2 linked regions of the Caenorhabditis elegans genome follow. The protein of the gene in region 1 purifies or fractionates together with the protein of each later gene. This does not show direct contact. Each region holds a gene or a part of one and is shown on either strand. Other genes may lie near its edges.

What was found.
Region 2: the proteins of mrps-23 (region 1) and bah-1 fractionate together in Caenorhabditis elegans (co-fractionation; one large-scale study listed by BioGRID). This does not show direct contact.

The regions. Positions count from the first base shown.
Region 1 is NC_003281.10:9,509,788-9,525,392, reverse strand, and holds mrps-23 (Small ribosomal subunit protein mS23), read left to right. Parts: upstream 1-1,720; 5' UTR 1,721-1,726; coding exon 1,727-1,830; intron 1,831-1,880; coding exon 1,881-1,994; intron 1,995-2,047; coding exon 2,048-2,231; 3' UTR 2,232-2,272; downstream 2,273-15,605. Other genes in the region: prp-40 (WW domain-containing protein ZK1098.1), read right to left, coding at 49-243, 300-1,063, 1,111-1,285, 1,332-1,508, 2,286-2,668, 2,716-2,845, 2,892-3,160, 3,236-3,317; clu-1 (Clustered mitochondria protein homolog), read left to right, coding at 3,933-4,059, 4,105-4,172, 4,218-5,964, 6,016-7,094, 7,203-7,283, 7,412-7,882, 7,931-8,101; F55H2.8 (FIP (Fungus-Induced Protein) Related), read right to left, coding at 10,844-10,993, 11,485-11,502; F55H2.7 (uncharacterized protein), read left to right, coding at 9,146-9,229, 9,275-9,466, 9,517-9,570, 9,860-10,215, 10,268-10,391, 10,532-10,799, 11,754-11,815; F55H2.5 (Putative transmembrane ascorbate-dependent reductase CYB561 homolog), read right to left, coding at 12,608-12,791, 13,302-13,918.
Region 2 is NC_003279.8:11,458,790-11,476,616, forward strand, and holds bah-1 (Glycosyltransferase family 92 protein), read left to right. Parts: upstream 1-6,352; 5' UTR 6,353-6,383; coding exon 6,384-6,544; intron 6,545-6,602; coding exon 6,603-6,840; intron 6,841-7,333; coding exon 7,334-7,912; intron 7,913-8,040; coding exon 8,041-8,247; intron 8,248-8,304; coding exon 8,305-8,387; intron 8,388-8,627; coding exon 8,628-8,745; 3' UTR 8,746-8,823; downstream 8,824-17,827. Other genes in the region: gtnt-53 (Glycosyltransferase family 92 protein), read right to left, coding at 51-632, 728-959, 1,009-1,157; ZK1025.3 (Methyltransferase FkbM domain-containing protein), read right to left, coding at 2,275-2,657, 3,572-3,905, 3,964-4,263; ZK1025.8 (sulfotransferase family protein), read left to right, coding at 10,673-10,742, 10,785-10,840, 11,499-11,644, 11,689-11,820, 11,870-12,010, 12,354-12,511, 12,593-12,795; nhr-113 (Nuclear Hormone Receptor family), read right to left, coding at 14,489-14,542, 14,590-14,866, 14,915-15,135, 16,147-16,331, 16,382-16,444, 16,504-16,569, 16,615-16,758, 16,815-16,830.

The sequences.
Region 1 (15,605 bases):
GACCGATTTTAAGGAAAAGTTAATACATTTTTATAAGACAAAGCGTAATTAATCAGCTTCTGATTCTCGTCTTTTCCGTTTTTCAGACGAATGACGTGGGGATTCACTCCTGGAGGGACTACGTTTTCGGGATTTTTTCGACTTTTTTCCTCTCTCTTCATCGTCCATTCTGTCTTCCTTTGAATGCTTCTTTTTCTTTTTCTTCTCTTTTTCGCGGATTTCTCCTTCCGACTCCGAGTTATTCTGAAATTAAACGATTTTAATAGGAAATTATTAATCTATTTAGAAAAAACACCTACATCGCTTCTCTTATTCTTCTTCTTTTTATCCTTTTTCTTTTTCTTCTTTTCCAAAATTTCGCTTCCAGCAGTAGTTCCACTTGTTCCGTTTTTATAATGATTAAATGCAGTCTCTCGTTCATCGTCATTCTCCATGGCAAGATAAGCCTTATCTTTTTCAATCTTTGGCTTGATTACAGTCCATTCGGAATCTTTATCGACATTATGCTCTTTCAGTAGATTTCTGAATTCGCTCTCCAGTCTTCTTTTCCTTCTCAGCGACTCTTTTTCCTCATCCTTCGCCTTGCTTTCAGCTTTTTCAATCAGTGAGTTGTAACAAAGTTTCATGTTTCCATGATCAACTTTTCCTCCTTTCTCATGAGAAACAACCCAATCAGAAAATTCCCTGTACTCGGTTGTTGCTATCACCTGACACCCTTTCTCTGTTAAAATTTCTTTAATGAGACGGCGGTCTTCGGTATATTGCTCCTTGAGATCTTCAACAAAAAACTTGAAAAGATCAAGTGGAGACGATCCAGGTTGGAATAGCATAAGTTCAAATCGAGTGTCTGTTGAGATAATAGGAAACAGGGAAGTCCAAAGTGACATGGAAGTGAGTTCTCCCCTCTTATGCAAGCTCTCCAGCAGTAAACGATATTCTTCTCGTACTTTTCGTTGTTGCCTGCGGAGTCGTTTCTCTTCTTGCTCTTTCTCCTCGTCGTGCTCTTTCTCGGCTTGTTTTATATGATCTTCGAAAACTGTGAGCGCATCTTCCTTGTCCATAACTGAAAAACAATTAAATTCGAATTTTATAAGAGTCAAAATATTTTACAATGCAGATCCTTTCTCTCCGCGAACTGAGGATTTTCATATAAAATTCGTTGTGCTTGAGCCCATGTAGTTTTGTAAGTTATTTGCTCCATACTCTGAAGAACGTGACTGAAAGCTGCAATGTCTCGTTTTCTGTCCTCTTCTTTTTTCTCCTTGTCCCTACGAGCCACGAAATCCTGGAAAAATTAACAATAACAATTCTCAAAAGCCTTAGAAACATACAATACAATCTCTAAAAATCTCTTTTCTATCCTCATCATTAACAGCAATCCAAAGTGGCTCCTTGCTGAATATATCGCTGGCTTTTTGGTATTTGAGGCTTTCTTTCATTTTTGGATGCTCTTGCAAGAATTTTTCCAAATCTTCTTTAGACTTTTTGATTGCCAGTCGTTTTTCATCCTGAAATTTAATAAATAATTATAAAAACTTTGCAAGCCGTGACTTTGCAGTCGTAAATATTCACAGAGAATAATCGCCCGCCGAAAACCGCGCCGCCGCCTTGCAAGGGGCGGAGTCGCCCCTCCCACCTTTCCGTGCGCAAATTCTTACTGCGTTTTCCGTTTTTAAAGTTAATTTCTTCTCTCCTTCTGCAAATTTCCAATCATTTTCAGGTCAAAATGGCTTCATTTATCACTCGTGCGGAACGTTCTGGTAATATTTTTTCGCGAGTCACTGGACTCATCCGTGCTGGTCAACTGAACTGGGCAGATCGTCCTTTGTGGTAAATTTTTACTCATTCAAGCGGATATCGTGATATAATTATCATTTCAGGTATGATGTGTACGTTTCATCTCCACCATTAACACCGCCAGATTGGAATGTAAAATTAGCAAAGTACGACGAACCAATTCGCTCTATTTTCTACGAGGAAGATGTTCTCAGAGCGTAAGTTTTGGTTATTTCAGGCGCTGACTATTTAAATTGTTTTCTCTATTCAGAAAGTTCTACAAGACATACAGAAGTACGGCTGGTATTCAAGTGGATAGCTCAAGAACAAGCGTCTCTCAGCAGTTCATCAACGAATATAAACTAGTCAAATCAGAAAATGCAGAGGCAACAGATGATCAGTTGTTCGAGATGACACAAAAACGTCTCAACGAGAATGGAATCGTTTTGAAATAAATGCTAAGTTATAGTTTGTAGTTGTTCATAAATTTGTTTTTCGTTTCAACTTACTCTTTCTTCTTTTCCTCTTTGAACTTTCCAAGCGTTAAATAATTGTTTCTTTTCTGAGACTTTGTTCAGAATTCTGAAACGAGGATCATTCTGGATCCATTTTACAGCCTGATCCCAATTGCAATTCGTTGTTATCTTTCCGTCATTATATTTGTCACGGAGCAGTTCACGGAATCGTTCTGACTGCCGTTTCTTCAATTCAACTTCATCGTTCACAGATTCTTCTTCTTTCTTTTCAGACGGAAGAGGTACATTTGGCATTGATGCGAGGGTAGCCTTCATGGCTTTGTCTAGATCGGATTCCGCCTTCTTTTGCTGAACAGCCGCTGCCAATGCGACAGTGTCCACAGTTGCAGCCTTTGCTGCTGGCTTCTGTTCTCCTTCTGAAATAAATAATTCAAATTGAAAGATTCTCTAGATAAAATCTTACTTGTAATTTCCTCTCCATCTGGTTTAACCCATTGCGTTTTCTTTGTAAGGGTATTATAATAATATGGTTTTCCGTCATCACTCATGAATTCTTTCCATTGACCTTGTTGTGGCTGTCCGCTAGTACTTCTCTGAAATCAGACTTCAAGAGCGCTGTAAACTATATTTTTCACTTACCTCGAGTGGAGTTTTTAAGACGTCTGGTTTTATCCATGACGTTTGTTTCGTTACACGATTATGATAATAAGGTGTACCCTTTTCATTCGTATGCACACTCCAATCAGATTCGACAGATGGGGATGAGTGGGATTCGTCTATGCCCATTCCAGGAGGTACCAGCATTGGTGAAGGCCTCGTCGGAGCTGCAACGTGCGGAGCAACTACAGAGTGGGTGGGCATTTGGAGGAGCGGAACTTGAGCGATAGATCCAACTGGTGGCATGCCAACTGAAAATGTTTGCATTAATATTAAATTATTTTATTAATTAATTGGCCAATTTTACAAATTTATGAAAAACTTGCATCTTTGGTTCAGGAGAACTTGTTGAATGTTAGCAGCCGCTACTAAATTGGGATTAAGAAATGAAAATCCATTGGGAAGCATTCTGAAAATTACTTGATTAAAAAGTGAAAACGAAAGAAACACCAAGGAAAATGTAGCATAAACAAAATTTGTGGAAAAATCGAAGAAAACTGAAACGCTGCGTGCCCCCTTTCGATGCAATCTATCGTCGGAAAATACGGTGGGGCGCACTTGCTTGCACCAGAAAAGCGCAATGAACGAGGATCGCGCCAACGTGATGATTGACGCATTCCTGGAGCAAAATTTTTACAATACACTTTGTTCCCAATTTCTCGTTTCCTATTGCATCAGATGTTTTTAATTTTTGATTCAGTGTCGGAAAATTAGAAAATGAGTATAAAAATAGGTGTTAATGATATTGCTTTCTGATATTTGTTCTCTGCTGCGCTCGTAAGTGCGATAGCATAGGATTTTTGTATATAATATCCTTTCCTTCTCCAAATCTGTAGTTTTTTTTAGTTCTTCTGCAACTTTCTCGGTACAAGTCTTCATGGCTGTTCCATTATCTATCCATTCGTTAATTGTGCTGTGCTCGCACAATTTTTCGAATTCCATGATTTGCGTCATAAATCCTTCATCGTTTAATATTTCGCTAATATAATTATGAAGATGAACTGATATTTAAATATTTTACAGATGACTTTGGGTTCCGAAACGAAAACTGATGTCGAAGTGCCGATCATCAATGGGAAGCACGAAATTCCTCAAGAGGAAAACGACTCAGGTCACTCGTCGATAAACACTCCAGACTCATCAGAACCAGGTGAGAAAAATCTAAAATTAGTTTTTTTTTATCCTTGAGTTTCAGATAAGCAAGTCGACAAGTTCGTGAAGATCACTATTCAACCATCTTGTGGAGACGCTTTCGAGCTACATGTCAGTTTTTTCTTTCCTGATTTTAGAATCCAGACATTTTTTCAGCTCAGCGACAATGAGTTGGTTCAAGAACTATACCAGACGCTGCTAGACCGTGAAGCTACTTGTCATAGAACTTGTTTCTCCTTGTATTTGAACGGAACAGCCGTAGACAACTACTCTGAAGTCCGTGCTATTCCGGGATTCGTTGATGGGTGCACCTTGAACGTGGTCGATGAGCCATACACCATTCGTGATGCTCGTCTCCACCTCCGCCAAGTCCGTGAATTACTCAAATTTGGACTTACTGAAGATCAGCACGAGCCCCCGTGTACCAATGATGCTCAATCATATTTGACAACAATCAATTTGCAACCAGAAGAAAAGAAAGAACCAAAACCTTCCGATATTCTTCCACCAGATCATGCTCTTCCAGGATGCAAAGAACGCTCCCTTGCTCATCTGCTTGTTCCACAACCAAAAGAGCTCATTGCCCTTAAAGATATCGCATTCTCTCCGTACAACCCTCCACCAGGACCTCGAAAGCTCAGAGGAGATGTCTTGTACATCGACATCACAACAGTTGAAAATCGCATCTACCATGTCACCTGTTGCACTAGAGGTTTTTATGTGAACAACTCACAAGATGGACGGTTCGATCCGACAGTATCGAATTCCAATAAGACTGTCTACCAAAGCGTCATTGAACTACTTCAAAATGTCAGTCCAGGATTCAAGAAAGTATATCCTCAAATTTTGAAGCGGCGTCAAGAAAAGACACTCGTTGAGCGACTTCCAACCAGTTACCCAGTTTCTTCATGGGTTGGAAATCCATTGAAAACTGATGGGTACATGAGTGACTCATTGAGAGCCATTGAATTGACAGAGCCGTTCCGGGTTGGATTTGAAGATCATATGCCAGGACTCCTTCGTGATTGGAATGAAGAGCTTCAGACTACTTTCGAGATGACCCGTAAATCCATTTCTGAGCGAGTAATCCGTGATCGAAGTTATTACAAAATTCATGCTGATTACGTAAATGCTGCTGCGAGAGGTGTTCAATCTATTCTTGATGGAAATATATTGGCTATAAACCCAGGAGAGGACAAGAAAACTCATATGTACATTTGGAACAATATCTTCTTCAGTCTCGGATTTGACGTCAGAGATCATTATAAGGAGCTTGGAGGAGACGCTGCTGCTTTTGCTGCTACATCGACCGATCTTCAAGGAGTGCGGGCATTTGCAACTCTTGATGATCCAAAACTCAACACTCTAGGAATGGCAATTTTCGATTATCGAGGATATCGTGTGACTGCACAATCCATCATACCAGGAATTTTGGAACGCGAGCAAGAACAATCTGTTGTGTATGGATCGATAGACTTTGGAAAAACTGTCGTCTCTGATGAAAAGTATCACGAACTGCTCGAGGATGCTGCTCACAAACTGAAAATGCTGCCTCACACCGTTATCAGCGAGAAAGACGGAGTTAAGGAAGAGTTGAAGCTTTATACAAGCTACGAAGCTAAGGGAATAATTGGAAACGATGGTAGAAAATACGTTTTGGACCTTCTTCGTTCAATGCCTCCAGATGTTCATTATCTCGATGACGCAGAGGTCTCTGAGGCCGCTAAAACACTGGGATATCCACGAAAATTCCCGCACAAGCTTTCGGCTCTCCGCCGTGAACTAATTGATGCGTTCTGTGAGTCTAGATTGGTCACTTTCATCCAGTTAACTGCAAAGAAGATCCGTGATCTGATTACCGAGTCAAAAGAGAAAAATGATGAAACTTTGATTAAGCAAGCAGGTAATCATTTCGTACAAAACTTTTCTTAATCAAATTATTTTTATTTTTCAGCCGAAGCAGAAACTGAACTATCACTACTCTTTATGGCCATCAGCGAAGATAAGGAGTTTGAAGCCAAAAACAAAGTCGTTCAAGATGCTATCAAGGAAGCTTGTGCAGTTGTTCATTCTATTTATGAAGATCGCTATGTTATGAAGTTCAATCCGGATTGTTTCTCATCAAATGTCAAACATGCACCAACAGAGAACCTTGAACGACAACGCCGTGTTGTTGTGGATGCCGCAGATTTCCTCCTTACCCAGAAGATTCCAGAGCTTGTTCAGAACTTGAAAGATTGCGTTGTGCAACCAATTGATGGAGATAATCTTGCTGACATTATGCACATCAATGGTATCAATATTCGCTATTTAGGAGAAATTGGAAAACGTCTTGAAAACAGCGTCTCATTTGCTCGTCCACTTGTTCTTTCGGATATCGTTGCTAGATCTGCAAAGCATGTCATCCGCAAGATCAATGTTCAAATTACTGCTGATCAACTCTCCGCAAGTACATCTCACATTCTCAACTGCCTATTCTCTGTAGTTTTGGATCCAAGCCCTATTGCTGCGAACGTTGCGAAGAAAGCCAATAAGAAGAACGGCAAGAAACGAGTTACATCTGCCTGGTCTTCGTTAACCACATCAGCACTTTGGAATAGTATCCGTGAAGATTCTGCCAGCTATTATGGATACCCGATTGAGGCCGACTCCCTTGAAAAGTTCACCGAATTGCATGATATCCAAAAAACTGCTCTTTTCCGCCGCATTTGCAAAGTCATGGGAGTTCAGCTCGTAGCAAGAGATTACCAATTGGATAACTCTACTGCAAAGAAAACATCAATTTTCGTTGAAGATGACATCATCAACTTCTTCCCAATCATCAAGCATCATGAACCATTCACTGCTGATGCTAAGAAAATGTTCATTCGTGGACAACAAGCGATGTCTATTGGTGCCTCCCGAGAAGCTTACGAGTGTATTGGCGAATCACTAAATCTCATGACACTTGTCTATGGTGTAATGCATCCAGATATGCCACAATGTTTGAGAGCTCTTGCAAGATTGTCCCACGTTCTTGGAGAAACTGGAGATGTAAGTGTCTTATCATTAGTTATTTTGGTTTTTAAAACAATTTAGCCGCATGAACACTGAATACATTGGAAATTGTAATATATAAAACCAATGCCGTATAATTTTCAGGCTTTGAACAACCAGCATAAGGCAGCGGTCATGAGCGAACGGTTGATTGGATTGGATGCAGGAAATACCATTATTGAATATGTAAGTACTATTAATAAAAAATCATCTGCATTAAATATGTTTTATCATCTTTGTTTTTCGATAAACTTGAAGAACAATGAGAACAAAATAAAGGGAATTTTTCTGCAATGACATTGAACATTTTTCAGATCAATTTGGCCCATTTCGCATTTGGAGCACTTCTCATTCCTGGATCTCTTCGTCCATTGTACCGTGCGAGATATCTCATGAATCTCGTATTTGGAGAGAAACATCCTGTAATGGCTCAAATTGATGCCAACATTGGACTCATTTTGTTCACTGTTCAAGAGTTCGACACAGCTTTGAAGTACTTGCAATCGGCTGATGCTATCACAAAAACTATTGGAGAACCGAGAAAGCTGAAGACTGGATTGATTTCCAATTTGATTGCCCGAACACATGCGGCTCGTGGAGATTTCCGAGCTGCTCTAGTTGCTGAAAAGGAAACATTCGCTATTTATTCCGAACTCTATGGACCAAATCACCCAAGAGTCAACGAATCGAGTGAATATCTTCGCACGCTTACTCAACAAGCTGTTACATTCCAAAAGAAAATGTTGAAACTTGACAATAGTACAAACATTACTGAATTGTTCCAGGTAATATTAAATTTTCACAATAGCAAAAAAATCGCAATATTTTTATAGGCTCAACCTCCAACAGTTACCTCTCTATTTGATACCTTAAACATCATCAACGGAATACTGATCATTGGTGTTCCTGGATTGTCTTCTCTCGGAAAACAGCAAAATGGGACGACTGAAGAGAGCAAGACTACAGATGTTGCTGCTCAGCTTGACAATGAGACTCTCGATTAGAATTGATTAGATATCACCCAATTTTTTGGAAGTTGTTTATCAAATTTCAAAAAATTTAGAATTACTTGTTCGTTGATTATTTTAGTTTTTAATAGTGTATAGCATATAGATCAGTTTTTGTTTCTTTTTGTTTTGTTTTTTTAGGTGTAGATATCAGTTTAGTAAATAACTTTTTTTTTGTTAGAAAACCGTGACCGCATTTTCGTTGCTTTTTTGAAATAATTATATGAGATAATTGCACCGTTTCTTTCTCTGATAACCAAAAACATTTGCTCAATTCCAAAAATCAGCCTGAAATTTTCAAATTTGCTCAGGAGCATTTCCCTCATTTCCCACAACTTAATCAATCACATGTTCCCGTTTTCATTGTCTTCTCCATCTATCTGTAACCCATTTCCTTCATACATGTTATGACTGTCGTTCTGACACGAGTGTCCATCGAAAAACTAATCATTTAAAAAATATACATCTCTGATAATCCGAGTACACTCCATCTTTTGTTACACTGATGCGTTTGTTCTCCTCGTTACCTGTTTTTTTGCCTTAGGATTCAAAGCCTTGTAGTTTAGTATGAATTTTCGTTTTTTTTTAAATTTTCCAATCAACTGTTATAAAATGTTTATTGTTTTGTTCTTTCTCCAATAATAAAATCTGAAAATCTATTTTTTGTTTCAGTTCTAAAATTTTCAGAAAACTTAAAGTTTCATTCTTTAAATATTTTGAAATATCTTGTGAACAAAAATATGAATTTGTTAATCAAGAGTATCGCTTTTTCCAATTTGTCAGAAAAAAAATATATAACTTCCATTATTTAAGAAAAAAAGTTGCAAAAACTGAAAATTGTGTCCATTTTATTTTTTTAGCAGTAGAAAATTATATTTTCTTGTTTTTGCATTTTTTTTGTTAAATGTTTTAAACCATAAAAAATTTTATCCGATTTTGTTCATGTTGATGAACAAAAAAATTATAAAAATGTAATTGTCCTCTAAAAATGAGAGACTTTAAAGCTTTTTCTCTCTTATAATTAAATTTGTTTTTCATAGAATGGCGAGTGATTGGAGACGACAATCAACGAGTAGAGGAATTCCGAATGAGGGACAAAATGATGAAAAAGGAAAACCGCTCATTGTGAGAGAATATTTAAAGTAAAAAAAACAAAATTATGAATTTCAGGGAAGATCATTTCTGCTCGAAATTGAAAATCGTATTCTACGAACAAACGTGGCAGAAGGATTACATATTTCTGGTGCTACAATAATTGATTCATTTGATGATGCTTCCCCACAATGTGTCATCTCCGATCACCCGATGGCTCAAAAATTAGAAAAAGCAAAGAAAGATGACCCTCTTTTTAAAAATGAAAAGGTACACTTTTACTGGTAAAATTAAAAATAAATAAATTAATCAAATTTCAGATGCTCAAAATAATGCCCGCACTTCTTCGACAAGCAGTGAACAGAAATATTAAAGTAAGAAAATCGCCAAAAAACCCAAAAAAATTAAAAATTTGGTTGACAAATTTGAAAATTACTGTTCTTTCAGAAATTAACAGCAAAAAATTATATAAATTAAGTGGGCAAACAAATTTCTCAAAAAAATGGAATAAGACAAGTTGTTTGATGAGACATATTGGAAATAACGCTTTTTTTCAAAAAAAAAAAATCATAAAATAAAATGTTCAATTTTTAGCAACTAAAAAACTAAATTTTGAAATTTTTCGACTTCCCCCTAATTCTTTAAATTTTCCAATATTTTCAGGTCAGAACACCGGAAAGATTTTTAAATCAAATGAATACATGGCTGGATCGCCAAGGAAAAACGACATCAGCAACTACATCAAATAGTACAATTCGTGGAAAACCATCATTCGGCCGGGAGAATAGTGCAAAAATTGAACGAACGACTCCGAGACTTGTGCCAAGAATGCCACGTGTCAGCAGTGATCAGACGTCGAGTCGGCCGAAGGAAGAACGATGTTTTCTAAGAATTGATGTTCCTGGAAAAAGACCAGAAATTCGGAATGTCTCGAAAGAATCATTTTCAATTGTTTATTCTGGAAGAGACACAGGATTTTCAATTTTTAAAGCAGCAGAATCGTCACTTGTGGAAAGAAGGTATTTAGTAAATTGTTTTTCTTCTATTTATATGTAAATGCAATTATTTCAGGCAACGAGAATACGATTCATTTTTGAAGGGAAAATATGAGCCATCTAAGAAGACTTTCAAATTTGATGAACGAGATAATTATTGTCAGTTCTGCCAAAAAACGATTCTTGGAGACAGGAAAGATGTAAGAATAGAGAAATTCGAAATTTTGAGGAGATTTTATAAAATCGAAATATTCAGAAATTCAGAAATTCCACAAGAGAGAAAAAAAACAAAAAATCGTGAATTTATAGAAAATTGAACATTTAAAACTTGATTTTTCAGCACGAAAGAACCGATGAACATCGCAATAAGGCTCGAACTCAAGGAATTACTCAAACAATGGAAAGAATTGTTTTGAATGCTCGATTACGAGCCGAACGTCAGGAAGCGGCTTTGAAAAGAAATCAAAGAAAATCACGAGAAAGTGTGATGTTTGTAGAAAAGTCGAAACGAGCAAATGTCGAGTACGAATATGGAGAAAATGAAATTAAAGCGAATTGGCTTATGCTGAAAGCAAATACAGTGGAAAAGACGACTGAGAAAACATCGAGTAAGATTATTTTATTTTCTTGAAGAAAAATTGCTACAATTGATTCAATTAGGGTAATAATGGCAAACTCCGTGATAACAAATATGATCAAAATCTTTACGAGGTTTGCATTGTGAAGGAACTTTACATCCTTTTCCAGTACTTTGTGCCATTATTTCATTGATAAAGAGCATTGAAATAAGAACAACCAACATCTGAAATTGATTTAATAATAAGAACTATTTTTTATAGATTAAGGCTAATGTTTTTTAACTCAAAATTACCAGAAAAAAATCGGATTTCATAACGAAACTTGAAAAATTTCTCAAAAATTTTTATTGCGTTCAAAATTTCGAAAATATGTTAATTTTAGCTAAAATTCCGGATTTTCTTTTTTTGTGTTACAATGGCCGGGAATTTTTTTATACATTTATTATTGTTCTATTTGCACATTTTTCGATTTTTAGTTCCTTTCGGTATAATTAAATCCGAAAGGTATTCAAATTTAAAAATTCTAAATTAACAAAAATATTGTGAGACATTTAAAAAAAATTAAATTAAAAAAAAAACCTAAATTCCGGCTGCTGCGACACGGAAAGATTGTCCAAAATTGATGTTTTAGCTAGAATTAGGACGTTTTTTTTTTCGAAATTTTAAATTAACCTTTTGGGGTCACCTTTAGGTAAAATAATTTTTTTAAACTTACGAAAGATACAATTCTCATTATTGCCAAGTTGAAGTTTTCAAGTGAATAATTTGAAAATATTGAACATTTCCTCTGAATTTATACCATCCATAATCACATGTTTTATGTCTTAGGCGCACTGAAAAACATGAAATAAATCATAAGGAACTTCCTCATTCTCTCAGTCAACCTTTAGTTAATTGAATAAATTGGCCTTAATTCGAGTGTTTGTTTTGATATATATGTTTTGAATAACTAAAAGTAAAAGATACAAAGATCACAAATTCCAGTTCTTTCTCCACGTCGACGACAGAAAAGAATGCGGTCACTTTCAAGTCAAGGAGACATTTAATTTGTCATATAACATTCTCATTATTACTATTCGATCTCTTAAAATGTGTATTATCTCACTACAATATGTAACTGTATATTTGTATCAATTCTAGTACTGGTTATTCGTTTATTTCTCCCCGATTTTATAATACTTATTTATTTTACGGTTATTTAACTTTCAGCCCAATTTTTTGTTTCATTTGCATTTTAACTTCGGTTTTAACAGGTGCATAAATATTTATTTCTGAATTTATATAGGCTCGATGCATTCAGATAGAAATTTGATTAGGCAATTAGTGAACATGGAGAGATGAGATCGTAAAATTGTAGAAATAAATAAATACGGGGGATATGGGACAACGGGGCAAGGATAGGCGACAATTCTACAAAAATTACTTATTGCGCCATGTTTTTCCAACATTATCTAAAAAAAACAATAATTTCTGCTAAAAAGTTACCAAAAAGGGCCTGAAAATTCTCGATTGCGGATTACCGAATTAACGAGTTTTGTTTTCCGGCAATTGGCAACTTTTAGGCCATTTTTTATCAGTTTTTAGATGAAATTATTGTAAATTCCAGATAAATCATGTGATTCTCTATAGTGCGACACAAATTTTTGATGAAAATGTTGGAACAACATGGTGCAATAGGTAATTTTGTAGAATCGCCACCCATTCCTGGTCACTGGGAGCAAGGGTGTCGTCGAAAAATTTTCGATTTTCCGAAAACAAAATGTTCAAAAAACTAAACAGACATTAAAAAATTATTCGAAAAAATGAAAATTTTAGATTTTTCGACACCCAGAAGACAATTAATCAGACATGGAATGACTGGAAGTCAAATGATGAAGTCCTTCTTCTTCAGGAAGTGATTGACGCTTCCAACGTGGATTCAATACAAGAAGGAGAACACAGACAGTGTATAGGAAAGTGAAGACTCCGACGAATGAAGATGTTGCTTGTTGAGCACACATTTGACCTTCTTTAGTCCAGCAACTGAAAAAATAATTTATTTAAATATATTAACTTTTAGATCTTGGAATTACTTGTTTTTTGGTGAAAAAATAACGCTTTTTTCAAAAAAAGTGAGCGTTTTCGTAGAAAAAGTTTTTTGTTTCAGATTAAGCTGAATCATTATAACTGAATTCCAACCCTGAATCCAAAAAAAAGTCAATTTTTCCAGCGATTTTTTTGATATAAATTTTCTTCTTTTTTCTCGAAATTTTACGATTTTTGCGCTAAAAAATACGGTATCCGGTCTCGACACGACAATTGTTCGTCAAATGCAAAAATTTATGTGACTTCTTGTTGCGGAATTTACATCGATTTTTCACAGTAAAATCACATTAAGTTTGCCGGTTTGCCGTGAAAAAAAATTCTGCAGGGTTTGAGATTACAGTACTCTTTAAAGGCCCACGGCCTTTTCGTATTAATAAATTTGTCGTGTCGAGACCGGCAAAAAAATCGAAAATTTTAGCGTCTCCGTAATAATAACATAAATCTTACGTATGCTTCCATGCTGCTCTTTCCGAAATTCCCATGGCTACAGTAATCGAGACAAAAATGAAGATGAGCACACCGAACATTTGATGGAATGGCATAACGAGTTGACGAATCGGAATTGGCATTCCCGGGAAGAAGTAGGTGATGAATCCGACGATGTATTGTGCAAAGTAGAGAATGACAACGGATAGGCCAATCCATGAATGTAAAGAAACCAAATTGACAATTGGTGCTGGATTTCCAGATGGATCCTTGTGAAGGTTATGGTAGTCAAAAACTGCTTTAAGTGCCATAAGCATGAAGACAAGAACACACGAATGAAGAATAACATGAAGAGTTTTACTGAATTTCTTTCTTTCATTACGGAATACACGATAAACGAGAAGAGCCTCTCCAAAAAGGAAAACCATTCCCATAATCATAAAAGTCGGATGATAGTTGAATTCCTTATCAGGATCCTCATTCCATGCGAATCCACTTTCAAACTTGCTCATCCAAATGGTAACCAGAAGAACGGCGAGCCCTCCGAATACTTGAGACATAACGAGAATTATGTTGAAGAGTTTCACACTTTGGTCCTCCCGAAGGATAACAAACCCCGGATCGAAGAGGAGCGACATGTCTCCTGAAATTAATTTTCAATTTTTAAAATTTTTCTTGAGTATTTATGTACACGAAGTTTTACGCATGATTTTAAGATTAAAAATAATATAATTGGGTCAAAACTGAGATTATTCAAAGATCACAATTATTGCCAATAACATTCAAAACGGGTAAAGCCAATTTTGATTATCACGAGGTGGCAACTCTATCCCGAAGGCTTCGGCCGAAGCAATATGAACGAATGAGAGAAGAAATGAACACGAACGAGAGACTCCTAACCGTCTGTGTCTCCCGAATCTGTCAAGAGAGTCGCGCGCCTAAAATCAATTCTTTGTTGTTTTTGTGTTTTTGACAGGAACATGAAATCCGAAACAATACAATTTTAAAGTAAAGAAAATAAAAGGGCATTAAAAACTTTTCTTTATCTAAAGGGAAATTATCTTTACAAGTTCTAATATGCCAAGATATCATGGTAAAACCTTTCAAAACAATTTTTTAATTTTTGACAAAAAGTGGCCAAGTTAATAATTTTGTAAGTCGACCAAAAATTTCAAAATTTTCCCGAAATGTGGGATTTTTGAATAATTTCGAGGATTACTGTAGAACCCCTTTAAACTTTAATTACATAAAATTGAAACTCAATTAAAAAATAAATAAAATTGTAACAATTAATTTGCGTTTCAATCAGCTCGTAATCAAACATTCTACGGGTTCGAATCTCATTTTTTGAAAATGTGGCAATTTACCAAAACTTTGAAAAAAAATGTTTTTTTTGGGTTGTGCTCGTTACTTTTACTCGCTCAGTGTTGTGCTCATTACCCAAATGAGAGTTTTTGGAACCAAAACAAAGATACTTGAAATCAGAAAATTCAGCTATACGAATTTGAAATTTCTAAATTTAGATTTAGGCTCACAATTTCAATTAAATAAGAAAGTGATATTTAGGTTTCTATGAACTGTTCAAACAAGTTTTCTATTTTTTTTGAGAAATAAAACTTATCAAAAATTGTAAGAAACTATTATAGCTCACTTTTCAGCAAATTATATGTAACGTGGAGCGAGATGCTCAATGAGCAAGAGCCACATTTAAAAACGTCAGTCAAATGCCTGAAAGAGTGAGAGAAACCGACGAAAAGAGGCAGAAGTGTAGAAGAGAAAAAGAGAAAAAGAGGAAGGGAAACCGAAATGGGATATGTCATTGAAGGGCCAAAAAGAAGGATGAGAATGAGTAGAAGAAGAGCACAAACAGAGTGAGTGAAGAGGATTAATGGATTATAAAAAAATAAATTAAGAAATTTATGAAACTTTTTGAAAATTAAAAAATTGAAAATTTTTTAAGTGGTATTTAATTAATCTTAATTAAGAATCCGCCCCATATCTAAGTGCACTAATACAAATTCAGAATTTCAAGAAGATGACATTACATAGAAACCCATATCGAAATTTAGAGAATAGGCAAGGAAAATGTTCTGCCGAACAAATTGTGAATAGAAGGGCTCTTCACACGAATAACGAGCCTCTCCGTCTCTCACACTTTAATTTTCGTATCTTCAATATTTTAGACCACACGACACCACTCAAACCACTTTCCAAAAACGCAATTATAAATGGCTCTTCTCTTGCTCACAGTGTCACTTTCAGTCGACGACGACATAATTCAATAACGGCTCTTTTTCTGAACAAATAAATAATTAGGAAACAACT
Region 2 (17,827 bases), on another chromosome or scaffold:
TCGACAAACCGGCAAACCGGCAAATTGTCGGAAATAAAAAAAATGCTTACCTTGGGTGGCGCAAAAATATTAATGAACGTTAGAGTCTTCATTCCAGAAAAGTCATTCGTATAAATATTTGGCTCCAATCCGACATGAGTGTTCTCAAATAACAATGCTCCAATATTCTTCCCAGCCATCACCAGCTCCGCATATTCCAGCACACTACCATCCCCTGGAACCATGACCTCATCGAAATCGGCGACAATGCCCAGCTCCGTCCGAATTTCTAGAGAGCAAACTTGCAGAGCAATATGGGATGCGATAATGAATACACTGTCATCTATCTTCGGGTGATAAGGTGCAATATATGAAGAGAGGGCTCCTACATTTGGCCAAGGTCGTAGCTCAATGAGCCCAAGCTTTTCATAGTAGTCCAGAACTTTTTTGGTGTCTTGTGTGGCTGAATGAAAGTAGACTATAAATCGAGTTGCTCCCTGAGCCCGCCAAGCTTCGATGTATAAGATTACGTTTTGCCATTGAGAATAGTAATAGACGATTTGTAGGCATACAGTGAGGCCTTTTTCATATGATTTTCCAATTTCAACGATTTCGGAGAGGAAAGCTTCTCGGTGGCCCAACTGGATGGATACCTGAAAATTAAGTATAAAAAATGGTTGGGGTCTGGGGTCTGGCGTCTCGGATCTGGGATATGGGCTCTGACCTGGGATCTGGTCTCGGGGATTACCTTCTGAACTACTCCATTTTCTGGAAGCACCCCATAAAAATGGTGCGGAACATAGAAGCAATTCCTTGCGGGACCATATACCGGTGGGCAATTTCCTTCGTAAAATCCAAAGGAATATCCGTTAAGCTTCAATTTTGTAATCGTTCCGTTATAATATACATGTACTAGTAAGTAGTTACTTGCCTTGATACAAGGGTTCAAGCTAAATATTCTTAGACGGGGTGGACTGGTTCTGGAATTAAGTTACCAAAAAATTGTCAGAAAATTTTTTTTAAAAAAACCTGTAATCCACATAAACCTTGTGATAAAATGTGATGGGAAATGATGCATTTATTTGGTTTTTTAATAAGCTCTGATTCTGAAACCTTGGGTAAACGTAGAATATAGTGAAATACAAGCAAACAGGCAAGAAATCGAAGGAAAACTTCATTTTTCATGCTTCTTGTTTCATTGAAAGCCGTATTTCTGCGTTCTTATCTGATCTTTATTCGTAGGGAGAAACGGATGTTCCGATAATTAGAACAAGCATTTTTGAATTTGTATTGTTCATAGAAAAAAAATGTTTCAAGCAGAATCTTCAATTGAAAATTAAAGTTCGGTGATTACATAAGATGGCCCCTAAAACCGAATTTCGTGGTTTAAAATTTTTCAAAAAATTTCAAAGTTCTGGAAAAAAGAACAAATTTTGAGCGGAACTCATCTCAAATTTCACGGACGCTTTTTTGCCGATTTAGGTACATATTTCCAAATTTATTGAGCCGAGTTTCTGTATATTTTCAAAGTCTTTTCTGTATATTTTCAGAGACTTGCACCAGGCGTGGGCGGAAACAAATTTTACCAGCAAATCGGCCAATCGGCAAATTGCCGGAATTGAAATTTCCTACAAGCCGGAAAGTTGCCGGAATTAAATTTTCCGGCAAATCGGGAAACCGGCAAGTTGCCGGAATTGAAAAATTCTGGCATTCCGGAATAATGCCGAAATAAATTTTTCCGGCAGATCGGCAAAATTGCCGGAATTGAAAATTTCGACAAACCGGCAAATCGGCAAACTGCCGGAATTGAAAATTTCCGGCAAATTGGCAAATTGCCAGAATTGGAAATTTCCCTGCAAATCGGCAAATTGCCGGAATTGAAATTTTCGGCAAATCGGCAAGTTGCCGGAAATGGGAATTTCCGGAAATTCGACAAATTGCAGGAATTGAAATTTTCGACAAACAGGCAAGTTGCCAGAATTATAATTTCCGGCATGTCGGAATAACGCCGAAAAAAAAATTTCCGGTAGATCGGCACGATTGCCGGAATTGAAAATTTTCGGTGAATGGGCAAACCGGCAATATGCTGCAATTAAAAATTTCGACAAACCGGCAAACCGGCAAATTGCCGGAAATGAAAAATTCCGGTTGAAAAATCTGAAAATTATCTGAAAATTTAAAATGTACTGCGAGAAATATCATAATTTAAAAAAATGTATTTTGAGAAAAAAAAGAAAAATGCCATTATACAGAATTCAACAGCTACCCAGAAAATAATTATTAACAAAAACTAAATCACTCTAACAATGGATTCCTACACTCCTCATCTCCAACATTAATCATAAAAGTTCGAATAAATGGATCAGCATAGTAAGACCTCAACATAATATATCTTCTATCTTCAAGAACTCTCCACACAAAATCATGAAACATCTGCTTTTCGCCAATTGGTTGCTCGAATACTCCACTGTGAACTTCAATATTCATCTGACAAATTGTGACACCTGCATTGTCAATTGCTCCATTTCTATGAAGTTGCTCCATTATCGGAAACTCATTCTGCTCGACATCAATCCATAGAATATCGATCAGACTTTTGTTGAGGATGTACTTGAAGAAGTAGTCAACTGCGATGTGCTCGGTGGTCTCGGTTCTGTAAGCCAGCTCTTCTTTTTGCTCTGAAAAAAGCTAGATAAATATTTTATTTTTTTGATATTTTGGTTTTCTATTTTTGTCTAGTTATAACGATTTTTTTCCGGCAATTCGGCGAATTGCCGGAATTGAAAATTTTCGGCAAATTGGTAAACCGGCAAAGTGCTGATATGTAGAATTTGCCGAGAAACGGTAAATCGGCAAATTGCCGGAATTTAAATTACCGGAAATTCGGCAAATCGCCGGAATTGAACATTTTCGGCAAGTTGGAAAATTGCCGGAATTGAAATTTCCGGAAATCAGCAAATTGCCGGAATTGAAAATTTCCGGAAATTCGGCAAATCGCCGGAATTGAAAATTTCCGGCAAATTGGAAAATTGCCGGAATTCAAATTTTCCGGCAAATTGGAAAATTGTCGGAATTGAAAATTTCCGGCAAATCGGCAAACCGAGAAAGTGCAAATTTGCGAATTTGCGGAAAAACGGCAGATTGCCGTACATTTTCGGCAAATTGTGGTTTTTCACTTTTTTTTGGAAATTTAAGAATTTCAATTTTTTCAAAAGGTCACAGTTTTAAGTCCTTCTGTCTTGTAAGAAATCCCTCTAAAAAATTCCGGCAAAATGATATCCGGCAAATCGGTAAACCGGCAACTTGGCAAATCGGCAAATTGCCAAATTTGCAGAAAAAAACGGCAATTGGTGAAAATTTTCCGTCAATTGTGGTTTTGCACATTTTTTTTTGGAAAATTCAGAATTTCAATTTTAGTCGGCAAAATTGTACGCATCCTATGAATGTTTCTACAGACAAATCGGCAAACCCGAAAATTGCCGGAATTGAAATTTCCGGCAAATCGGCAAAAGTTTTTTTGCCGGAAATTGCTAGTACTCAAGCTAATTTACAGGTGCTCAAGCTAATTAACAAAAAAGCACACAAAAAATACCTGTATAAATACTTGATTTCTGCACTCCGGTCTCTCCACTAACTGCGTATCGGTAGTACTTTCCTCCCAGCTTATCTTCATAGAGGATCTTATTCACTTCGGGAGATGGATCGGCTCCATAGAATTGAGTATTCGGATGAAGCTCCTTCAAACTGATCTCTCCCATAATATCGTGTCCGATACCAAGTGTGACCATTGTGAGAAGTTGGCTCTGATTCCGAGGAAGAGCTATGTACTTTGTCTCGTCTTTGTTGTACACGTGACGGATGTCCAGCGCATTGTAGGCTTTGAGATTGTCGCATTCCTCAGTTAGACTGGAGAACTCGTCGAAGAACTGAAATTTTTGAAGGTTTTTGGACGATTCTAACCTAGTTTTCTTGAAAGGAACTTACCTCAACATATTTCCCTTTGAGCGGTCTCAACTTCGGGTAGACGCAGTTATAATAAGCATCAAAAAGCGGAGAGGACTTGTACGACGTTAAATTTCTCGCAGTGTCATGTCTAACCGGCGGTGGAGCCCATTTGAACACATTAAGTTCATTTTCCTCCTTTAGCGGCTTCTTGTCATTATAGTTGGAATAGAGCATAAATACCACAAATACCAAAGCGCCGAACAAAATCAATCGGGGTAGACTACGCATTGGAAGTCGTTCGGTTAGCCGAAGCTTATCAAATCGGGAGTACGGAAGCATGACAGCGGAGTGATGTAAAATTTCGGTCCAGAAAGCGCTTTTAAGCCAGCAAGGTGCAGAGATATCATCGGTACATAGATCTACGGATAGAGAATCCGAGGCGAGGGGAAACCGGAATCCAGTGGATTTTTGGTGTTCCGATGGATAGCTTTGTCTTTTCACCATATTTTCAGAAATACGAATGCTATGATTCAAGAAAGCACCCGCTCGGAAGCTCCTGAAATGCCGTGTCCTTTGTAAAAAACCCAAAAAGTTTAGTTAAACCGTTGTACACGAATTGACGAACCTTAACTGGGGAGTACAGAGCCTAAGCTTAAGCCCAAGCCTGAGCCTAAGCCTACACCTAAGTCTAAGCCTAAGCCTAATACTAAGCCAAAGCCAACGCCAAAGCCAAAGCCAAATCCAAAGCCTAAGCCTAATCCTAAGCCGGCCTAAGCCTGAGCTTCAAGGATCGGACTATTGGTTACAGTCCTCTTTTCAGACAAGATCCATATGATTTGAAAGTTGGTCAGTGCTCTGAATTTTTTGTAGTGGCCTATACTGCCACAGGCCTAAATAATAACCTGCCACATTCCTTTCCCAAAATTCATTTCCCCATTTCCAGAATCAGAATACATTTCCCACCGAATCCACACAAAATGCTGCCACGCACCTCGATTGTGTCGGCAGATATCTACAAAAGCCGGTCGTAAAGCTGAGTCTTCTTGTGCTAGATCAGAAGCTGGATATGGGGGGAATAATTCGGGAAAGTGAGATGAAAATCAAAAAGACTTGAATTTGCAAATCTCCACGGTGGAACAAAGGGAATTAATGTCTTCAGCTCTACAAATAAATCTGTGTAATCTGTCCTGTATTAATCTAGAATAGAGCATGAGGAGCGATTTTCAAAATTTCCTGCAATCGGCATGCGGTGTCAGGTTGTCCCATAGCTTCATTGCACACAAAAATGGGGAAAAAATATATTTGAGTTTTTGTGACGTCACAGCTGTGAACTTTTCAATTATTCTCGCCAGTGGGGAAATTGTTAAAAACCACACCCTTGGTCCAAAAATGATCAAACATCATGATAAAACTTTTTAAAAATTTTTTGAAAATTTTTTATTTACTGGCAAAAAGTGACAGTTACTCACTATCAGTTTTTGCCACTCATAATTTTGGAAGTATTTTGGAACCAAAAAAAAAAACTTTCGCCTTTTTTCGTTTTAATTTTGTTTAAAATATTTGTATTAAAGGTGGAGTAGCGCAATTGGGGAAATGATTTTTCCATATTTTCTGATTGAGACGTGAACTTTTTTTCATTCTCAGGCTTAGGGAAATGATTTTCTAAGCCTTGTAAAAATGAAAACAGTATTAAAATAAACATTCACGTGTGGATTAAAATTAAAAAGGTAGTGTTAAATAATTAAAAATCATTTTGGGGGAACGAAACCCATAAGTACCTGGGGATTTTGTCTAAATCTTTATAATGATCCAAAACAACCGAATATCATAATAAAACACTCCAAAAAGTTTTAGATTTTTCATAATTTCCGGTCAAAGTTTTGGAAAATTGCCAAAATTTTGAAAAATACAAGCTTTTGAATAAATTTAAAGAAATGTCGCATGTTTCGACCCCTACAATGTTTTAATACAAATAATTTTAACAAAATTAAAACATAAAAAATGTCGAAAAAATTTTTTTGGTCGGCTTCCAAATTTATGAGTGGCAAAAACTGAGTAATTGCCACTTTTTGACAGTAAATAAAAAGTTTTCAAAAAAGTTTTTTCATTTTGGGACCATTAGTTTTTAAAAATTTTCCCACTGGCGCTACTCCATCTTTAACAAAATTTCTTGTTTACACGCAAATGTAGTTTGATGTTTAAATCTGAATATAGCAATACTTTATGACCCAGTACATAAAAACTCGTTCTAAGTAATTTCAGCCCAATTGAAAGTGGCAGAATCAAAAAATTGACTTTCTCACTCAGAAACTCGATTACACCGATGCCATCGCACCCGACAAAATTCGGATTATCCGTTCTTCGGAGACTTCACGGTAAAAGATGAGATAAGAATGCCTATATTTGAATGTCTGAATATAAAAGCATTCTCGCGAGCGGCTTGCTGTTTCAATTTCGAAATGACTCGATTCAAATACAAATACCTTTTCTATTCTCTAATTCCTATATTTTTGTACTTACTGGTTTTTCATCCAGTGATAACATTTCTAAGTTCGAGAGGCCAACCAATCAACTCTTCGTTTCCAATAACCTTCTACCACAAGGCATATATTGATTACAGGTAGGTTAACATTAATATCATTTTCCAAATGTTTGTGAAAAAATCAATAAACTTCCAGAACCAACCCTCCCCGTCTCCGGCTGTTCAGTCTAAACCCATGCGTTAAACCGAATACCTATCTACTAATTGATGTGTACAACAGAGGAAGTCCCATTCCGAATGAAGTAAAACTCTTGGGAGATCCTTTTGGGTTCTTCAATGAAAATTGTCCACCGGTTTATGGTCCTGCCACGCATTGTTTCTACGTTCCACACACTTTTTATGGGGTGCTTCCAGACAATGGAATAATTGAGAAGGTATGTAATTAATTGAGCAACTCCCACTAATTTTGTGCCGGTGCCGGCAGCCGAAAAATCGATGAAGTAGTTCATGTGCATGGCCAAAATTATTCCTTATTGGGCTGTATTTTGTTTTAAAAAAACGTTGAAATTATCTTTTATTGCCATCAATAATGGGACTCTTTCTATATACATAATTCCAATTTCCAGTTCCTCAAATTTGTCTAAAATTTCTCAAAAGTTATGTCATTTTAGCTGCTCTAATTTTTTCCGGAATATAGTTATATTATATTGACACTGATGAAAATGTAGAAAATGCAATGGACAACATTTTGTTTGTTGAAAATATTTTTCTAGCTATCATAGTTTTTGAGTTAAACGTGTTTGGAAACCTTAAACAAATGGCCTTACTATTAGGCTTAGGCTCAGGCTTAGGCTTAGGCTTAGGCAAAGGTTAGGGATAAGGATAAAGCCTATGACCCTCAGATAGTTGACCTATTTATTTTTTCAGGCTACCATACGATGGGAAGACCGAGAAATAGAATTTGCCATTGAGGAAATCGGGAAAAAATACGAGCGAGGCCTCACTGTATGCCTACAAATCGTCTATTACTATTCTCAATGGCAAAACGTAATCTTATACATTGAAGCCTGGCGGGCTCAGGGAGCAACTCGTTTTATAGTTTTTTATCATTCATCCACAGAAGACACCAAAAAAGTTCTGGACTACTATGAAAAACTGGGGCTTATTGAGCTACGACCCTGGCCCAACATTGGCGAGCTCTCTTCAAATATTTCCCCGATGTACCCAAAAGTTGATGAAAGTGTGTTTATTATTGCAACTCATATGGCTCTTCAAATATGTTCTCTGGAAATTAAGACGTCTTTGGGTATTGTTGCGGATTTCGATGAGGTTATGGTACCCGATAAGGGTACTGTACTTGATCATGCGATGAAGGAAATGACCGGGAAGGATATTGGAGCATTGTTGTTTGAAAATACACATGTTGCACTGACGCCTAATATTTATACGAATAACTACTCAGGAGTGAGGTCACTGACGTTCACCGATATTTTCGCACCGCCCAAGGTAATATTTGCTGCGGGGTTTAGGCTTAGGCATAAGTTCAGGCTAAAGCTTAGGCTTAGGTTTAGGCTTAAGCTGAGGCTTAGGCCTAGGTCTAGGAAAATTTAAAACTTCAATCCTACACATTTCAGTACATCTTCAACACCTCTCTTATTGATATCTGTGAAACCCATTCCCCAGGAAAGTTCCTTCATAAGTCCACCTACACAAAAATGGCAAATGGCACTGTTCTACACTTTCGGTTCAATGTGAAGCAAATCCGAGCGAAAATTGTTCGAAAGTCTTATCGATTTTTCCCAAATGACACAGCTGGGCATATTAGGAATATGCATGATACGGTAGGCGTTGGGAGTCAGAGGAAAAAATATCAATAGAAAAAAAAAAGAGATTTTCAGATGAACAAGATTTTCGAAAATTCACCACCTGCATTTTCGTACAAGCCAATTGAGACTTTGAATAAGTGCATAGCCAAAGTCAAGTAAGGATTTGTTAATAAAAAATTCACGGTCACAGGAGTGGAAATAGTTTCTAATAGGTTTTGATCTACCAAACTCTAAAGTTGCGGAAAATAGAAGCGCTGAAGTATTTTCTGAAAGTTCGCCGTGAGCTTAGTTTTAGAGCCTCGCAGCTTAAAATTCATGAAAAATCGTTTCAAACCATGGGCTATCGAATGAAATAGTTAGGTCATAAATTTGTACAAGCTCGGCAAAGTTTTCAGATCCGACGTATGCCATAGCACTGGTGGAATCTGCAAAGCTGCGATGGATAATGTCACCAATTGGGTATACAACACGACTGAAGGATTGTTCACAACGGGTACACGTATCATCGTCTAATCTATGTATCTCATATTTTTGCTAGAGAAGTATTTTAGTTTTGTTTTTGAAATAAAAATAAAAATTCACATTTGTCAATTTATTGTTAGTCTTTATTTTCAGGAGTGTAAAGTTTTTCCAGCTAATTTGAATGAATTGAGTTGAGAAGTAGGGTTCCAATTAGGGCTGTACAAATCGGCGTCCGGTCGTCCGATTTTGACACCACCGGACGCACTGCGTCCGGTTTTGGGGTAGGTTTCCACGGCGGCCGACAATTTCCGAGTTTCGCCACCCACTATACTTAATCAGCAATTTTATAGTGAGAGGCGAAACTCGGAAATTGTCGGCCGTCGTGGATAGCTACCCCCAACCGGAAGCATGTGCGTCCGGTTCGGACGACCGGACGTCCGGTTGTTTAGCCCTAGTTCCAATGAAGTCGCCGCAACGGCGTCACCCCAAACGCGGAACCCCGAACGTGTCGGCCGCTTCCAAAAAACTACCTTTTGCACTACGTTGCGCACACACAGCGGTTTTGAATAACTTGTATTGTTTGAATAAAGTAAAAACATATGTACCTAAAAAATATTGATAAATTCCTTCCGGAACTTGATTTCTAGAGGTTTGAAGTTTTTTGTCTGTAAATAGTGATGGTTCGGAATTATTCAAATAGTTTTATCAAAGTTTCAATTTGGCGAACAACCACGTTTTCGATTCAATCCGACGGACTTCGTGTCGGAATTTACTTTAATCGCGGAAATGATCTCCGTTTCTTAGGTGAAATATCTCAAAGGCACTTCTTTGTGTGGGTTCGTATCCTAGTTTGAAAAATTGATAATTTAGCTGAAAGGGATGGGAATTCGGAACTCGTGTGTATTTTTCTTGCGCAAGATAAGCTTTTGTTGAAATTTTTTACCCGCCAAGAAAAAAATAAAATTATTCGAGAACTTTTTCTATGAAATTCTTTTTTTTGGAATCAGTTTTGTATTACAGCGAAAAAAAAGCGCCAAAAACTCTACTCCCTAACAGGGCTGTGCGGCAACCGGGATTTTCGGCAACCGGCAATTGCCGAATTTGCCGAACCCAGAAATTTTCGGCAACCGGCAACTTTCGATTGCCGAAATTTCGGCAACTTTTCGGCAACCGGCAACCAAGTTTTAAAGTTGTTTTTTTAAAATTATATTTTTGAGCGTTTTGGCAAAAAATAATGGTCGTTTTCTCGTTTACGGCGAAATATTAGCATGCCGAAGTTGCGGAAAAAAGTTCGGCAATTGTCGAAGTTGCCGAACCCAAAATTTCCGGCAACCGGCAATTGCCGAAGCTGACGATTCCGAAAAAATTTCGGCAACCGGCAACTCGGATGTCGGTTGCCGCACAGCCCTGCTCCCTATCTAAAGGAGAAAAGTCAATGCACCATGTTTTGATAAGTTAAGGCACTTTGTGCCTACCTAGCAGGCAAATGAGTTTGCCCCAAATTTTTGAAAATCCGAAATTTCATATTCCAGCAAAATTATAGTTTCTCTGAAAATAGGTATAAATCTCGCCAGGCTTTCTTTCTAGAAAACAATTACCTGAATGAAAATACTTTCTATCGTAGAATAAAGGATCTTCAACGGATTTATTTGTTCATACTTATTTTGAGATGAAATCATCTTTATCTTGATTGTTTCTAAAACAAAGAAGCATGTCAGTGAGGCCAATAATTCCCATTAAAGCTCTCTACTTTTAAAGCTCAGCTGTGAAGTCACTCTAAAGTTTCTCTACAGACAAGGAAAACGTTCAAATTCATTTTAGATCTCCGTTTCTCTTCTTTCAAAAAGGTGTCCAGATTAAAATCAAATTCAAGTCCTGTCGCTCGAAAATCCGGTTTGGGATATTCTGTGCCCTTATAAACAAAGGTTTCCAAGATCATTTGCTTCTTTTTTTCCGGAAGAAAATGCAAAAATCAACAATGAAAATATTGATGATAGTTTCTGTTCTGATAATTTTATATTTTGTCTTAAAGCCTAAAAGCCTAAAAGGTTTGTTATTGATTATTTTCAACCAAATACTAAAAGTTTTAGGGTTCAACCCCGATGGTTTCATAAAGCCGTTTATCAGCTATGCACCCAGTTTTTTCGTGAGTTGTTGTTCAGCCTGCCTACTGCCTACTTTTTGAGCATTCCGTTAAAGCTTGAGAGCCAAAATGAAAATCGTTTCAAATCAATTTAGGAAAGTTTTCAAATTTCGCATAAGACCTGTGTTATTTATTTGGTTTTTCTAAGCTTAAGCTTAAGCCTAACAAGGAAAGGAGGTCAATCTAGTCCCGGACTTTAAATCGATACGTATTTCATTTGAAAGCTTATGTTTAGACTAGATCACCACAAAAATTTCAGCGGCGGAACTCAACTCTGAACCCTTGAAATCGCCATTTGAAAGTGCTCCAGTGAATTTTTTCGCTGATTTCTATGTCAAGTAAATGGCCTGAAAAGGGGTTCTGAGAGATTAGAAATAGTTTTTTGGGGTTTTTAGGGTCTAACAAACAATGTGGAAGCTTTTTGGAAATCCCACGGAAATCCCAATGCCCATGTTTAAGCCTCAGCTTAAGATTCAGCCTAAGCCTAAGCCTAAGCCTAAACCCAAGCCAAAGCCTAAGCCTAAGCCTAAACCTAAGCATGTGCCTAAGCCTAAACCTAAGCCTAAGCCTAAGCGTAAGCCTAAGCCCAAGCCAAAGCCTAAGCCTTAACTTAACCTTAAGCAGGGGCCAGGCACGCAATCTTGCTTAAACTATAATTCAGACGGCTCCGGACAACAAGCTTATTGCCTGCGAAATCCGGAAGTCTATGTCTCAGCTGACGCTCAACATGATGTGCCTCTTGTACAACGAAACGCAGTACCTACAGGATAAAAACAATTTCACGAATACTTGGGAGACAAGTACTAGGTAGGTAGTGTGCAGGAACTCAATGCCTCACCTTTTTTTTCCAGGAAATGCACTAGTGAGACAAACTTTGTGACTCCATCCGATTCATTGAAGAACGATAAGGACGCAGTGCGATTTGTGTTCGTGCGGGATCCGTTTCGCCGTTTTGTGTCGATGTACTTGAACAAATGTGTCGTGTTAGTTGCAAATTCTGAAATAGTCAAAGTTCAAACTGATAATTTTAAGTGAAAAACGGTGTTTCGACTGTGAAACCGATATGCGGTGTATCGCGAAGAAAACCTACGAGTCATTCGTCGAGATTCAGAATAATGAGACTAAAGCTGCGGGAATTGAGTATGTTGAGGCACATGCTGCTCCAACGACTTGGTGAGTGAGATCTTATTGTGGCACGGCTAAGTATATCAGTAGAAATTTTTCGACCAGATTATTGTTCTGTAAAGTTTCTTTAAAAAGTACTCAATCCAATACTCCGGCGATGTTTACGGCTTAGGCTTTGGCTTAGGCTTAGGCTTAGGCTTAGGCTTAGGCTTAGGCTTAGGCTTAGGCTTAGGCTTAGGCTTAGGCTTAGGCTTAGGCTTAGGCCAAGGTTTAGGCTTGGGCTAAGTCTAAGGTTTGTGTTCAGCCACAAGCTTAGGCTAAGTCTTAAATTCAGAAAAACCAAATAATGAGTTTTGGATTGAGCACTATTTTAAGATTTTATTTTTTCTAGGAACTGTAAATTCAACGAGGGAGTTGAGAACTGGGAGCTGCTGCCTATGGACTCGGACCTCAAAGATCGGATTTCGTCGGCTGCTAAATTAGCAGATATCTTAAGAAAGCAAGGCGTCCGTGACACTTTAGTTGAGCAAATTTATAAAGACATTTTGAGTAGGTTCTTTTTTATTCTAATACTTTATTCTAATAATTTATTCTAATAATTTTTTAAAAAATTTTCTAAAAATTTTGCAGCTACCGAGACTGCTCACTCTACTCACAAATGGACCAAACGTCTGGAAGCTGAAAAGCAAGTTCGAGAAGATCCGATTGTTCGTGAATACCTGCACAAAATCTACCTCTACGATTATCTTCTTTTCCCGTTTGACAGAAGCGTTTTAGACCCGGAATATCGGGATATTAACTCAATTTCTTATTTGAAAAAATTCTCCAAATGAACCTTGTAACTTTGAACCTTTTTGTGATAATTTTTCTGGAATCTAATTCTCCGTCAGGCTTTTTAATTCAAAATTTTAAAATTTAGCTACAAAATACATTGATTGAGTGGCGATAAAAAGAGAAATGTGTGCGAGCAACTTTTCGGGAGAGATTAAAATTGAAGATTACCCGAAAATTTAGGACAAATTGTCTGGGAAATTTTAGAAAAAAAGGTGGCTTTTTGACCTCCGATGTGTGTTGTTTCTAACTTTGATTTGAACACCGTATCTTGTAGGCAGGCAGGCAGGCATTATTACTCATATGGAATATGGAGAGATATCGTTTCAGAAAATTTTCAATTTTTATTTTTTCTATTTCAAAAAGATCAGACGGGCATCGATACAAAAAGAAATGAAGAAACACATATAATGAAGCTTTCAAAATACATTACTATATCTTGTGAAGCTTGGAAAAGGGTTTTGATATTTTTTCAACAAAATGATATAATTTTTGGCTAACAGTTTGCATGTGTAAAAGTACTGTTTTAACTGAAAAACGCAAATTTTACTCAAATTTTTTGAAATTCTCAGTAGCAATCGTAGATTTTTATGTTATTTTTTAAATGGAAAACATTAAAATTAATTTATTTTACAAAGTTTCTTCAAAATTGAAGTTTTTTTTTCAGAAAATCTCTCATCTTTCACCACTCCCCTTTCCCCACTCTGCTCAGCTTTTCCGATCACTTCTTATCACGAGGTCTACGCGAAATTCAGGTGCTTTTTGACGAATTCTGAAAAGTCTCATTTTTCTTGGCTAAAGTTTCATTTGGAAAATGTTTTTATATAGAATATTGAATCAAACTTTTTAGCTCCATGACCTTTGCTCGTGGATTCTGGGAAAGCTTTCCGGCATTTACCTGCAGCTTCAACAAGACTTGAGCAAGAAGCTGCCGATCCTACAAGTTTGAATGTAAGAAGTTCTACAAGCCTTTTGTTGAAAATTGTTGAAATCGTCTGAAAATGCACCAAAATATTAAATAACCTGTAATTTAGTAATTTGAAATAAATTACCTTCAAAATACACGAATAAATGCAATTTGAAGGTTTTGTAGTCAAATTTTTTATTGCTTTATTAGACCCAAAATTGCCTGAAAACACAGAATTTCATAATGAAATTTCTTGGAAACTGCTCAAAAAAAAAAGGTATCGCAGCTCTAAAAATAACCTAAAAATGATTAAAATTGGAAATTTGACCGATTTGTTGATGTCGCAGCGGCTGGAAATTAATTTCTTTCAAATCACTTTTTTTGAAAACGCAAGATAATTATCATGTACGGAAATTGCCGTTTTTTCCGGCAAATTCGGTAAATCAGTCTCTTGCCGGTTTGCCGATTTGCCGGAAATTTTCAATTCTTGCAGTTTGTCGGAAAAAACCTTTTTCCGTGTCGCCGAACTTGTTCATTTGAGCCTAAAAACGTGAATTTCGGAAAGATGACACAAAATATTTCAGTTTTCGTATATTTTCCTCTAAAATTGAAATCAATATCTGAAAATTTATTCCGTCGAAACAAGGGCATTCTCCAATGGATCACAATCTATTCCCGTCTGACACATTTAAATGCATTTGGGGGACACAAAAGGCGACGGAAAGTCTACGAAACAAATGTTTATTTGGAACTTTAACGTCTTTTAATATAAAACAAATGTCACAACGTCAAATAGATATTCCAGAATTGAGCAATAGCTTGATGAAGTCGTGATAGATATCCTGAAACAAAAATTGTCTTTATCCACAAAATTCCAACTTAAAATTACCGATACAGTAACAATTTGCAAAGTAATATCCCCTATCCTAATTGCAATTTCAAAATCGTCCATTTTTGTCTGTGTCTCATAATAGTTTCTCAGCGCGGAGCAAACTCCTTCATAGTGCTCTTGAGCAACAATTTTCAGAGCAGTGGAGGTTTTGTGGAATTTCAGATTCCAGATGCAAAACAACTTGAAAGCAGAGTATTCATACATGTTCAATTTCAAATTTGCCAGGGAAGATCCCAATGTTGTCCTGACCTGGTGAATGAATTCAGAGAGTTTTCTGAAAAATTAGTTTAAATTGTAGCAATAAATAAAAGAAACATTTCACCTGTCAACTCCAATTTCATAGTGAGCCCCATCTGACATGGAATATTCCCTGACAGAATCCAACCAAACATTCAAAAATTGGAAGTACTTATGTAGTACCCTGATATCTTTTTGATGTAACTTAGAAACTCCAGGGCAGTTAATGCATGCTTCCATTGCTGATCCACTTTGATGAGCAGTGATTACCATGAGCTCATTCATTGATTTAGCATGGAGAATGTTCTGGAATCAACTAGCTTTGTTATGGGACCTGCTGTAAGTAACCCCATAATTTTGGGGTTTCAGATCAGGGGAGGGCGGCAAATTGATTTGTCGACAAATTCGGCAAATTGCCGGAAATTTTTAATTCCAGCAATTTGCCGGTTTGCCGATTTGCCGGAAATTTCAATTCCGGCAATTTGCCGATTTGCCGATTTGCCGGAAAAAATCGTTTGCCCCCACCCCTGTTTCAGATATTTCCTAACATTTTCATTACAAGCTCCTAACTTTTGATATATGCATTTTTGATGTGTTTTGAAATTGACACTAACATCAATTTGCCATGAAACTGATCGAAAATTATCTTTAAGAAACGGGGAAAAAATTTCAAAAAGGCCTAGTTTTAAGTGTTTCCGTCTTTTAAAAAATCCCTCTAAAAACTTCCGGCAAGTTGATATCCGGCAAACGGGAAAAATGGACAAATTGGCAAATTACCGAAATTGAAAATTTCCGGCAAATCGGCAAATCGGCAACTTGCCGGAATTGAAAATTTCCGGCAAATCGGCAAACCAGCAAGTTGCCAAAAATCAAAATTTCCGGCAAATCGGCAAAGTAGCAAATTTCTGGAATTGAAAATTTCCGGCAAATCGGCAAACCGCCAATTTGCTGAAAATGAAACTTTCCGGCAAATCGGCAAACCGGCAATTTGCCGAAAATGAAAATTTCCGGCAAATCGGCAAACTACCAAATTTCTGGAATTGAAAATTTCCGGCAAATTGGCAATTTGGCGAAAATGAAAATTCCCGGTACATTGGCAAAACGACACAACTATTTCCCTTTGAAATATAATATCTCGGCTCAATTAAAATATATCAAACAATTTTCAACTACAAAGCTATAGAAAAAATCTAGCAAATATTTTGTCAGTTGACAATTTTTCAATAAAACAAACGCCATTGAGATATAAGTCGTCAAAGTTTAATAATGGAATTTCAAATCAAACTCCTGTCAAATTGCCTACCATGTCTCACCTACCTTCGAACTATTCTTCCTCCTGTTGGCTATCGTCTTCTCCACCTCTTTCACATAAAACTGTAGCAACTCCTGTGGATATCTCTTCAAAATTTTGCTATACTTTCCAATTGGCTTTTCAATTATTGGAGATACCAAAGGGCTCGATTCGGAGGAGCTGGAGCTGGCACTAGATGTGCCAATGGATCCTAGAAAATTTTTAAGGATTAGGGAATAAGTAGTTTAATTTATAACTAACTTGAAGCATCCACGTTAACACATTTTTGTTTCGGAACATAATTGCTATTGATTTTTCGAATATCTGGAATAAATACCTATTTATAGAAAACCGAAAAAATGTGTATTTTTCAAGTTACTTACAATCTTTCCTCATTCCAGCTTTGAGGCAATTGTTGTAGCGACAAGCTCGGCAGGTGAATTTCTTTTCTGGAAAATCTTAGCTTAAGACATCATAATTTGATGTTAACTAACCAAAAGAAATAACACAATCATTATTTGCATTACATGTGAACTGATTCTTAACGGTCCTTCTGAAGAATGCAGCACAAGCTATGCAGCAAGAGGTTCCGAAGTGAAAGCCGGAAGTTAAGGAGTCATTGCAAATACGGCAGGGGTCTGAAATACATTGTCAAACGAATTTTAAAAAAATAGAAAAAAAATAGTCAACTAACCGTTTTTATTATCCATCGCAAAAGCAGACCCACTAGTGGACACAAAATGGAATAGGAATGACTTCAAATCCCCCAAAATGTTATCTACTGGAAATCTCCGGCGGCCTCCAGTCAGAATCTCTCATGTTTCCATCCCCGAAAGTGCTAGTACGGAATTTAAGAAATTGAAAATTTGTGTTGTACTACGAAGAAACAGAGTTGCCTACGATGCCTACCTAATTGCAAGACGTACCTGAGATATAGCTAAGACATACCTAAAACGTACCTAAGGCTTATCTAAGCCTACCTAAGCCTACCTAACACCACAAAAGTAGACAGATTAATGCTGATCAGTTAAAGGTGGAGTAGCGCCAGTGGGGATTTTGCTTAAATACACTCATAATGATCCAAAATGACCGAATATCATAATAAAACACTCCGAAAAATATTTTCAGATTTTTCATAATTTTCGGTCAAATTTTTGGAAAATTGCCAAAATTTTGAAAAATATGAACTTTTGAGGAAATCCAAAACAATGTCACATGTTTCGACCCTCACAATATTTTAATACAAATAATTAAAACACAATTAAATTATAAAAAAAAAATGCCAAAAAATTAAAATTATCAATGGCAAAAACTGAGCAATTGTCACTTTTTTTCAGTAAATAAAAAATGTTCAAAAAATTGCCGAAAAATTTTATTATAATATTCGGTCATTTTGGCACCATAGGAGTAGTTTGTAACATTTTCCCCACTGGCGCTACTCCACCTTGAACTACTAATAGTTTGTTACTTCATACTATAGTTCCAGAAAACTTGCCACTAATTATAGCCCCCCAGTCGAGGATATACTAACTTACCTAACCGGAAGCCCTGATGCTGAAAAACAAATGTGTGCCTAATTTTATGACAAAGACCTTTTTCTGTTTGCAAACTAAACTATATCCTAAATTTACTTCCTCGTTTTTTCACACAAAACACGGTCTTCTAACTACTTGACCCAAATCGGTCCAGATTACGATCATTTTTTTT